3 linked regions of the Oryzias latipes genome follow. The protein of the gene in region 2 purifies or fractionates together with the protein of the main gene of each other region. This does not show direct contact. Links are inferred from orthologs where the notes say so. Each region holds a gene or a part of one and is shown on either strand. Other genes may lie near its edges.

Evidence for each region.
Region 1: the proteins of transducin-like enhancer protein 1 (region 2) and hes1 purify together in Homo sapiens (affinity purification with western blotting; 4 studies listed by BioGRID and IntAct, with this or other methods). This does not show direct contact. The link is inferred for Oryzias latipes from reciprocal best matches to the Homo sapiens genes TLE1 and HES1.
Region 3: the proteins of transducin-like enhancer protein 1 (region 2) and foxg1 purify together in Homo sapiens (affinity purification with western blotting; 3 studies listed by BioGRID and IntAct, with this or other methods). This does not show direct contact. The link is inferred for Oryzias latipes from reciprocal best matches to the Homo sapiens genes TLE1 and FOXG1.

The regions. Positions count from the first base shown.
Region 1 is NC_019862.2:12,732,661-12,735,787, forward strand, and holds hes1 (transcription factor HES-1), read right to left. Parts: upstream 1,779-3,127; coding exon 1,671-1,778; intron 1,563-1,670; coding exon 1,467-1,562; intron 1,377-1,466; coding exon 1,289-1,376; intron 1,178-1,288; coding exon 636-1,177; downstream 1-635. UniProt on the Homo sapiens protein: Transcriptional repressor of genes that require a bHLH protein for their transcription. May act as a negative regulator of myogenesis by inhibiting the functions of MYOD1 and ASH1.
Region 2 is NC_019867.2:10,616,680-10,620,849, reverse strand, and holds the start of transducin-like enhancer protein 1, read right to left. Parts: upstream 2,857-4,170; 5' UTR 2,139-2,856; coding exon 2,115-2,138; intron 1,814-2,114; coding exon 1,713-1,813; intron 1,172-1,712; coding exon 1,108-1,171; intron 293-1,107; coding exon 248-292; intron 1-247. UniProt on the Homo sapiens protein: Transcriptional corepressor that binds to a number of transcription factors. Inhibits NF-kappa-B-regulated gene expression. Inhibits the transcriptional activation mediated by FOXA2, and by CTNNB1 and TCF family members in Wnt signaling.
Region 3 is NC_019880.2:2,901,589-2,904,914, reverse strand, and holds foxg1 (forkhead box protein G1), read left to right. Parts: upstream 1-1,472; coding exon 1,473-1,633; intron 1,634-1,774; coding exon 1,775-2,510; intron 2,511-2,603; coding exon 2,604-2,753; downstream 2,754-3,326. UniProt on the Homo sapiens protein: Transcription repression factor which plays an important role in the establishment of the regional subdivision of the developing brain and in the development of the telencephalon.

The sequences.
Region 1 (3,127 bases), on a different chromosome or scaffold from region 2:
CAAGACTGAAGATGTCCCTAAAACATTTGGACATTCTTGGTGCAGAAACGCCCCCCAAAATCCACTTTTTAAGCTCCTATATGCACAAATGTAACAATATTTTACATTTTTGTCCACAGATGTGTTTTATGGTCAAAAATATTTAATTTGGTTGATGTCACGAACTAAGATTTCATATTTTTAACTCAAGTTTTGTCCTGGAAAATACACTTCAGAAACTTTTTCCATGCACAAAAGCAGTACTTTCACATTAAAATCTCAGCTTTAACTTGGAGTAATGGACAAAGAAGTGAACTTAAAGTCTGTTCCATTTGATATGATAAAAAACTGACTTTTCAACATTTTTTTTTTTTTACAAATTTATTTGTCTTCCAAAACGAAGAACAGGACAGCATCAAACATGTCTTTGGCGTCACACAGTAGAAAAGACAACTCAAATATATATATTTATATAGCCTATAAAAATGCAGTGAACGAACTTCCACAATACAAATCTCATTTCAATATGAACTTTAGTCCCTTGTTAGCTGTACAAATATAGTGCATACTCTTCATTTTACAAGAAAAAAAAAAGAAAAGTCTATCATGATGACATGTTGAACTAGAGAGTATGTTTTCAGTCACTCCTCCACCTCTCACCACGGTCTCCACACTGAATCAGTGGTTCCTGACGGGGCTCCCGGGGAAACGGCAGCCGGGACAGACACCGGCGTGCTGACGTTGTTGGCGTACACGGGGATAACGGGGCCGTTCGGCGCAAACGCCGCGTTGGGAATGAGGAACGCAAACTGTCCATCTGTGGCTGGCACGATCTGGAAGCCCCCGTAGACTTTGGTGGCGTCCGAAGGCAGTGCGGCCGGCGAGGAGCCGCCTTTACAGGACGCCGGGTTCATGGGCAGGATCTGCGGGGACGAGCTGGGGATCTGCACCATGGGCTGGCTGAAGGACGGGTGCGTTGGCCCCGCGGTGGATGGGAGCGGATGCTGGTGCTGATGCTGGCTGGGGTAGTTCATGGCGTTGATCTGGGTCATGCAGTTGGCCAGGTGGCCGAGGAGCCGCGTCCTCACTTCGGTGTTGACCCCCTCGCACGTGGACAGAAAGCGGGTGACTTCATTCATGCATTCACTGAATCCGGCGCGATATTTCCCCAAAACAGAAGGGTCTGTGTTCAGAGCAGCTGCGGCGAGACAAACATCTGAGTCAACACAGGCATGTAGAGTCTGGAGTCGTGTTTTCTAGTCCAGATGATTACGTTAAGCAACAGATCGGATTGTAAAATTAGACCTACCGGTCATCTGAGCTCTCTGGAGGTTCCGGAGATGCTTCACCGTCATCTCCAGGATGTCCGCCTTCTCCAGCTTGGAGTGTCTGGAGCTCTGCAGCGACGGAAACACACCTGGTCAGCATTACGCGCCAACTATCTGACAAGAAACGCTTTGAAATCGACCGATAACCGGAACACTTACATCTTTTTTGAGAGCATCTAGGATGAGTGTTTTCAGTTGACCCAAGCTCTCGTTGATCCTGGCTCTTCTTCTCTTTTCCATGATTGGCTTTGAGGACTAAATAAAACAAAATAATATACGTCATGATTCGGATCCGAACATTTCTGGATCGATGCGCACCAGCTGAAGAAGAACGAGAGCGCATTTCTGATGAAATGTACCAACCTTTCTGTGCTCCGAGGCTGTCTTGGGTTTGTCGGGAGTTGTGTTCATGCTTGCCGGGGTTGCAGCGACCGGAGAGGATGAGTTTTTTTCCATCATATCTGCAGGCATCTTCTTATTAGAAATATCCCACAATTAGGATCCACTGGTTTAGGAAATGAGTAAATTGATGCGCTCAAACTGGCAAAAAGTCCCTTTTTCCTTTGAATTAAAAAAGGACAAATAAAAATCCTGAGGTATGTATCCGTCAGAGCGATGCGCGCGGCGGCTGCGCCTCAACCAGAAGCAGATCTGTCTGATAGACTCTTCTTGTTGCATGTATTTATATCTCACCCTGCACGCGAACGGCTCGTGTGAAACTTCCCAAACTTTCTTTCCCACAGTAACTTTCTACCAATCAGGGCGAGGGACACGCGGCCCGAGAGAGGACGGCTCGTGGTCGGCGCCCTCCCATTGGTTGTTTGGCTGCCGGAGCTGGCGGCCAATGGCGCACGGCCCGAGTTCAGGGCGCAGCCGAGGAAACTGCCTTCAGTCTTCAATCATCGCGCCGTTTCCATATTAACAGTGGAGCCGCTGACTGGGCATGACTTTTAGTCTGCAAGGCTTGTGATAACAAGAGAAACATCTTTGTGTTTAGACACATTAAAATGACTAATAACTTTATGTTTTTAAACATGAAAAGTGGTGCGCGTTTTTTTTAGGGGAAGAAAATAGGGCTCTTATCCTGGCTTTAGGCTGCGGTTATAATCAATTTAGTAAAGAAAACATCTCCAAAAGCCCACGAGGGGAGCACATGAGGGGGTGAACACGCACGCAGAGACACGGGATCATCATTTCTCTGCAGAAACATTTCACTGACAAAAGTTTGCCACTTAATCATCTGTCCGTGTTGCGAATGTGGAGCACGTGCCAGGATGTTTTATGAGCGCGGTGGTTGGAGGTTTGGCCGCCGGGCTGCCGGGGGGCCGCCGGGCCAGGGGAGGGCATGTGGCGGCGGCAGTGGTTTACATTAGAGGGGAAGGTAAATAGCAGCTGCTGTTTTAAAAGCCTGGGAAAACCACGCCTACGGAGAGAGCTGGATCGGGCTCCCTTATCGGAATGTGAGCCAGAGCAGAGATATTTCTGAGCCTGGAGAGCTCACACGATCACACCGCTGCCGCCGCCGCCCCCCCCCTTTCCTCCCCCTTCCCGCCTGTAGCCGCCCCACGGCGTTCAAGGCTTTTGAAGATATCAGGTCATAATTTCATTTCCTTATCTTTATTGTTAGATAGACGTAAGAGCAGACGGGCAAAAGTGAGTGAAATAACTCCGACAATTGCCTTCTGAAGGTTTATTGACGAGCAGCAGCTTTGTGTTCCTAAAGTTGTGCAATCCAACACAATAAAGTGTAACCATGAGTTCAGGGGATTTGTGAATGTTTTAACCAGCTTCCCTGGGAATAAAAGTGGAACAATAGGAGG
Region 2 (4,170 bases):
AGACAGAGCCCCATCAATCACAAATAAACACACAAACACACACACACAAGCATTCAATATATACAAAAAAAAGAATACACAAACGAATAAACACAAATATACAGCATCTGTGTGCCCACACAAACACAGGACATGTCAACACGTACACAACAAATACCACAAAACCCCTTTCGATAAGGAAGTGGAACACAAAAGAAGGAAGAGGCTCAAACATGAAGATGTAGACGACACAGATAAGCAGGCGTACCTGTTTGTGCATTTCAATGTTGAGGCCGTACGACATCTCATAGTACTAGAGAGAGAAGAGGCACATGTCAGTGAGATAAACCCCGAAAACTTTGAAAAGTATCAAACTAAAAAGCACATCTTTAAACAACACGGGCAAATTTGTCAAATGCTTCAACTAATAAAATAAATAATTTTTCAAATGAATACTTCAGCTTCCCCTGTAGCCATTTCTAACTGAAACTTACAGGGCTACAATTAAAAGGTAAGACTTTGATAAAAAATCATGCAGTTTTTGCTGTTGTGCATGTTTTACTAAAAAAAATGTCCCTTGATCATTGCCAGAGGCAGTTGTAGTCCAAGAAAGTAGATTCGTCAAATGCTGTACTTCAGATTCCAATGTATTTTTAAACAACTAAATTAAACTCCACTGTCTTGTGGGGTCTTCATCAATGTCTGAGTAAGACTACACATAAAAGACGCGTCTGAGGCGTTTTCCTTTGAGTGTCAATGTGGCTTCAAAGCACTTACAGGCTGTTAAGACTTAAAACACACCTTTCTGTAAAGGTAAGGAGTGTTTTAGGTATTTCAGTTTAACAATACAGTCAACACAACAGCTTCACCTGAACCAAACTGATATTTTTTACGACATTTTGTTGGCTGTAGTTTTTTTTTTTTTTTGAAGTTGCACATATTCTTGGAATGTTGTTTTAGTTGTGCGAAAAGCCTTCTTGTTGTTGTTGTGATTGTTGGGTTTTATTACACCTTTAGGTAAAAAGCACAGTTAAAAAGACAAAGACACCATAGGAGCCTCAAAAACCCAAAAAACACCAAACGCTATATGGATCTCTGTTAGGTTCAGGAGCAGAGAAAGAAGCTTACCATCACGTAGTGTCTCTGCATCTCAGTTTTTTCACTGGCCAGCTTCTCACACTCCAGTTTGAGACTGAACAAGAAAAAAAGGAACACAATCAACTCTGTGACAAAAATTCAATCATCTCTCTTTTCTACCATCAAAGTTTAGATTCTTGTCAACAAAAGAAATGAAAAAAAAATGTCTGTTTTATTTAAATGTTTGACGAGGATCGGCAGTTTCCACCTGCTGTGCCCAACATTCCATAAAAACACAAATTACAGATCAACTACTGAAAAAGTACACCAAATAATACTTGGAGCACTATCTACACATGCAGGGACAGAAAGGAAGATTTATGAAGCCTCCCTGTAACTCTCACCCATCACTGGACCTACCACAGTGAAAGTACTAACTGCTTATGTTTTTGCTTTTCACTATGTGAACCCAGTCAGGGTTGGTGGTTTTGTCTGTAGCTAGAGTTGTGTGTTTTTGTGTAATGTGGCAAAGGAGGGCAGCTGTGGTTAGATGTTGAAAGTTTGTATTAGCGGGTGGATGACAATGTGAAGAAAAAAAAGAAATTCCTCTCAGAAACAACAGGCCATTCAGAGTGAATCCCGTCTCTGTTGTCCACCTGTGGTACTGTGCCTGAAGAAACTGGAACTCCTCCTTGATGCGGTCAAGTGACTCAGGGATGGTGAACTTGAAGGGCTGGCCCGGGGCCTGATGGGGTGTCTGAAACACACCAACACACAGGATTAAGCCGTCTGCTGCATATGATCTCCTCCTGCAGCTAAGATGTTAGATCAACAACTTCTCAATTTTTGATCAGACAATATTATCAGTTCTTCTTTGATGCCCCCAGGGCAGATGTAGAGCAGAATTATCAAGGGAAAAGGAGATAAGCAGGCATGGAGCCTGAGAGAGCTTGTGGTGGTGGGGGTGTGTGAGACGTGCAAATCAAACAAAGAGGCAATACTTCCTGTAAACAGTTTCAACCTGCTGAAGTATGGAGCAAAAAGAGGAAGTAGCTTACCGGGTGTCTTCCCTGGGGAAACATTGTTATCTCCGGGGAGACTGCAAACGCGTCTTGTCCTGAAACCCCGCTAACGAGGGATCAAATGAAGCACAACAAGGATGTATGAAGCTCCTGATTAAGGAAACTAATCCATCCGCCTTTCAGTTGTCCTTAAATATTCGAACAGAAAACCAAATCTATCCACTGCTCGGTCTACGTTCATGGGCCGTTAGCGTGAATCCCCGCTCCTGGCTGGCTGTGGTCCCGGGTCGTTGTCCCTCGTCCGCTTCAGCGGCAGCGTCCGTATATAATCAACCGGAAAAAACACAGCTCATTTAGCCGGAGCCAGCTTGAAGTTGAAGGAGGACGGCGAGAACCAGGTGAGAAGGCGAGGCAGAAACCTCAGTCACTCCTGTATTTGTTTGGCAATTCTCCGGGAAGGAACCGTCAACCGAACGGGCAAAAATAACAAAAGAAAAAAATAATGGAACCGTAAAACACCGAGCTTTAGGTTAGCATCATCACACATAAATACAAGTTAGTTTCACTGAAGAGTTTCCACTTGGCTAGGTCGGTAGTCGGCGGTGAATAAATCAGGGAAAGATGTATCCAAGTCAAATTTGTACGTAAGCCTGTGTCCAAACTAGATTTTACAAAAATTAGGAAATATGTCGTTAGTTTTGATAACAAAAAACTCCCACAGCGGCACGTACACTCCTCCGTCTCGCTCTGCCTTCCATCAATGGCAACTTTCTCACGCGGTGTCACGCTTTCCGTCTAACCGAAACTCTGAACCAGCCCTCTAAATGGTCTCTAGCCAATCAGAGCCGCCGATCCACGTGGGGCCAACGACGTAGCGTCGGCAGTCGACCAATAGGAGTTCGGCAAACTTCCTCTGGTCCGTTGACCTCGATCAGCTAGAAGGATTCTAGCCAATGAGCATTCGATAAGGATGTGGAACTTTTGAGGCTTACGGGGGCGGGAATTGTGGTGTGTAAAGCAAGTTTTACCTGTCAATCAAAGTAACGTGGGCCAAAAGGAGCCGCAGATGCGTGCGCATGAAACACATCCATAAAGATGCTAACGAGCATGGGCATGTATTTAAACAAACAAGAATAAACTCTATCACATATGCGCAAAAAATAAAAAACAACAGAAATCCATGTTTCTACCCACAGAATTTCATTCTGCTACTCTCTTCCTCTCCAATTGGAGCCAATATTTGCACTCATCTTATACTAGCACTTACTCCATGTCCCACCTCCTAAAGGAGAAATCTAATGAGCTAACTCATATGTTGCATTCATAATAAGTTCTAAATTGGTGAGACAGCACAGTTATTTCATCAATGACTTTTAAAGTTTTTGAGATATTTTAGGGTTTTGGTAGCAGATTTCTTTATTTCACGACAAGATTTTGGTCAAATATTTATACACTCTGTCATTAAATAAACAAACTAAGAGCTATATTTTTGTTCGTTTTTTTCTGACCAGATGTGACAAACACATTTTTATTCATTTTCTTTTTTAGGGGGACTTGAACTATACGAAAATATACATTAAAAATGCAAAAAAAATATGATTATTAATATTGTTATTATTTGTTTATTTGTTTATTTATTTATTTATTTTTATTATTTGTAGTTTTCCCAATGGTTAAAAAAATTGTTTTTTTTCCCAAATTTCAACAAAAAACATTAATAGAATTATCAATAATGGCAGTATAAATAATAAAAATTAGGTTTTGACAAAAAAATGAATAAATAAAAAACGACAGCGTCTGATTTACTACTTGTTAGACTCCAACAGATAAAGTATATTATCCAGCAAATGTTTATTGGCTAAATAACACATAATGTTGTTTATTTGGCTAAAAAACACATAATTTTGTTTTCTTCTGCATATTTACTCTGTAAATTTATGAAGAACTTGATGTGAAAACATGAGTTGACCGTCTTATGTTCTGAAGTTTTGTCAACAAGCACCCCCTAAGTGGCAGTTGGCTCTCAAGTAACAGTAAATAAGTAAAGCGCACTTATTGCTTTCTCTACCTAATTAATTTATTTGTATCTGCT
Region 3 (3,326 bases), on a different chromosome or scaffold from region 2:
CCAGTGACAGGTTTGGTTAAAGCGTTTGCATGAAATCTCGGTGTTACCAGCTTCACAGAAAAAGAAAAAAAAACGATCATGAGATGCTATGAAGTTTTCCGGCTGAGACTTTATAGAATCACAACCACGGAACCGCAGTGGATTTGTTTGTGGGATCCAATAAATTCGTGACGGACGATCTGTCAGGAGTTTGTAGAGATTGGTTCACAACAGCAAAATAATTAAATAAATAAAAACCGTGAATCTTTGAAAAACATATAAAGGAAGTGATGCAAAATATTGTATTTTTGTGAATGTTCTGGGGAGCCTTTGGAAAGCTTGAGGGCGCCGTCAGATGAGCTCCATGTCTTCTGTTACCCGGAGCGTTGTTGCCTCCAGTTCTGTTAAATCGTCCTCGGAGAGGGGGGTGGGGGCGGTAAGTGACCGCAGAGACTCACATGAGGTTGTGTTTACGCCTCGTCTCTACATATTTCACGCTCACTTTACACGCGGACAAGCGCGGTCTTTGCGCGCTGCGCACTCTGGCTGCGCTCTGACGCACAAATCATCCACGCGCTTCGTGACCGTGTCCGTGGCCCGCGGACTCGCCCGTCTCAGTTTATTTTCCCTCCGAGCCCCACAGCTAAACAGTTTTGTATACACCAAGAAGGCAAATATTTGAGTCGGAAGAGTGTACAGTTTGGAGCGGCGGGGATCTGGGTTTACGCACGCACGGTGCGTGTTTTCAGTCACTTTTCTTTCCTGGGCTTGGGTGGGGGGACGTGTAGCCGTGGGGAGGGATGACTGGAGTGAACAGGGGTGAGTATTTTTCACGCTGCAAAAAGTTGGGGGAGCTGAGAAATCTATTAAAAAAACCTCAGGGTTTGGTGCAGAACATAAATGTAACAACAAAAGATGACACGAGTGTGGAAATTGAGGCACAACAGTAAATAAATCCCTCTGCATAAATCCGAAACACACAAAAAAATCTAAAATTATATTCTGAAGCCTAAATATTTGTCCAATTTTCTGATTTATTTTGATCGTTCTTGAGGTGGAAAACAGCTCCAGGCAGCCATTTTTTGTAGCGTGCCCAGCATTGGCGGATATGCGCGCTTCCCGCGCATCTCCATTGGCTGACAGCTCCGAGGACGCGTCAATGTTTAATCGTAATGTTTCCCTGGTTGGCTGAGGACTGGAAAGGTCCAACCAATGTTTTTCACTCGCTTTAGTGGCTGCGGCTCCCAAATTAATTGCAGCTATCTGTCTCCTATCGATGTGTGTGTACATGTGTGTTGTGTGTGTTTCCCCTTTTCCTCCCAAACCGAACATGAAATAGTTTGTTGGGCTATACTTTCTTTCTTCCTGTCTGTTCCCCCTTCCTCCCTTCCCGTCCTGGTTCGCCAGCAGAGGCAGGAAGGACCGAAGCCCAGCTGTGTTCGTCTCTGTCGGTCGGAGCCGTCGCCCCCCCTCACTGCTCGGTGATGTTGGACATGGGAGAGCGCAAAGAGGTGAAGATGATCTCCAAATCTTCGTTCAGTATAAACAGTTTGGTGCCAGAGGCCGTGCAAAGTGACAACCAGAACCAGCACCACCACCAGAACCATCACCGGTCCGGCTGCGCGGAGGACGCCGAGCAGAAGGCGCCGCTTCAGTGCGCGCAGCCGGAGGGGAAAGTCAGCCTGAAGAGTGAGGGATCGGGCCAGGACGGCTGCGCGGAGGAGAAAGACAAGCAGGAGGAGAAGAAGGACGGGAAAGACGGCGACGCGCCGGAGAAGGACGGCGAGAAGAAGAGCGGCAAGTACGAGAAGCCTCCGTTCAGTTACAACGCGCTCATCATGATGGCCATCCGGCAGAGCCCCGAGAAGCGGCTGACGCTGAACGGCATCTACGAGTTCATCATGAAGAACTTCCCGTACTACCGGGAGAACAAGCAGGGCTGGCAGAACTCCATCCGGCACAACCTGAGCCTCAACAAATGCTTCGTCAAGGTGCCGCGGCACTACGACGACCCGGGAAAGGGGAACTACTGGATGCTGGACCCCAGCAGCGACGACGTCTTCATCGGTGGGACCACGGGGAAGCTCCGCCGGCGCTCCACCACGTCCCGGGCCAAGCTCGCCTTCAAGCGCGGCGCGCGGCTGACCTCTGGGCTGACCTTTATGGACCGGGCCGGGTCCTTGTACTGGCCCATGTCCCCCTTTCTGTCTTTGCACCACACGCGGGCCGGCGGCGCCCTGGGCTACAACGGGACCTCCTCGGGTTACCCGGGTCACCCGATGTCCTACAGCACCATGCTGACCCAGAACATGAGCAGCAACCACTCCTCCTTCCCGTCCTCCAACGGGCTCAGCATGGACCGCCTCGTCGGCGGAGACCTCCCGTACGCCACGCACCACCTGACGGCGGCGGCCCTGGCGGCCTCGGCGGTGCCCTGCGGCCTTTCCGTACCTTGCTCCGGGACCACGTACTCTCTGAATCCGTGCTCGGTCAACCTGCTGGCCGGACAGACCAGCTACTTTTTCCCCCACGTCCCGCACCCGTCCATGACCCCGCAGAGCGGCGCGGGCGGCGGGGGCGGCTCCTTACAGGCCGCGCGGGCGTCTGCCTCCAACTCCCCGCAGGCGCCCTCCTCTTCCTCGCTGCAGTGTGACAGTCTGAGGCCGGCGCTGTCCGGCTCTCTGCCGGCATTCTCGTCGGGACTTTCCGGGGGTTTGTCTGATTATTTTACGCACCAGAACCAGGGCTCGACCCCCAACCCGCTCATACACTGACTCCCCCACACCCACCCCCGCTGAAGGAGCGCGAACCTGACCGGAACTCGAAGCTGAACATTTTACACTTGAACGTTTTACATGTACAAACAGACAAAATGATTATAACTACCTTCTATAGAAAAAAAAAGAGGAGAGACTTGCAGAAAAAAGAGCAGCACTGAGAAACTCATAGAAAGCAGCACTGACATTTCCAGGTATTTTTTTAATCTTATTATTATAATAATAATTATTATCATTTCTTCTTTTTCTCTTCTACTGCTCATCTCCTTCTGCAGTTTGAATTTCTGTGTACATAATGTCTGTTACTGTAAATGTCCGGGCATTGTCTCTGTATAGTGCTGTCAGTCAGTGAGGTGCAATGTGACCTGAGATGAGAAACCGAAAGAAAGACACGAGAGCTGTGCGCGCGCTTCTCTTTACTTGATTTTTTATCATATATATATATATATATATATATATATATATATATATATATATATATATATATATATATATATATATATATATATATATATATATATATATATATATATATATATATATATATATATATATGATAGTATTAACTAT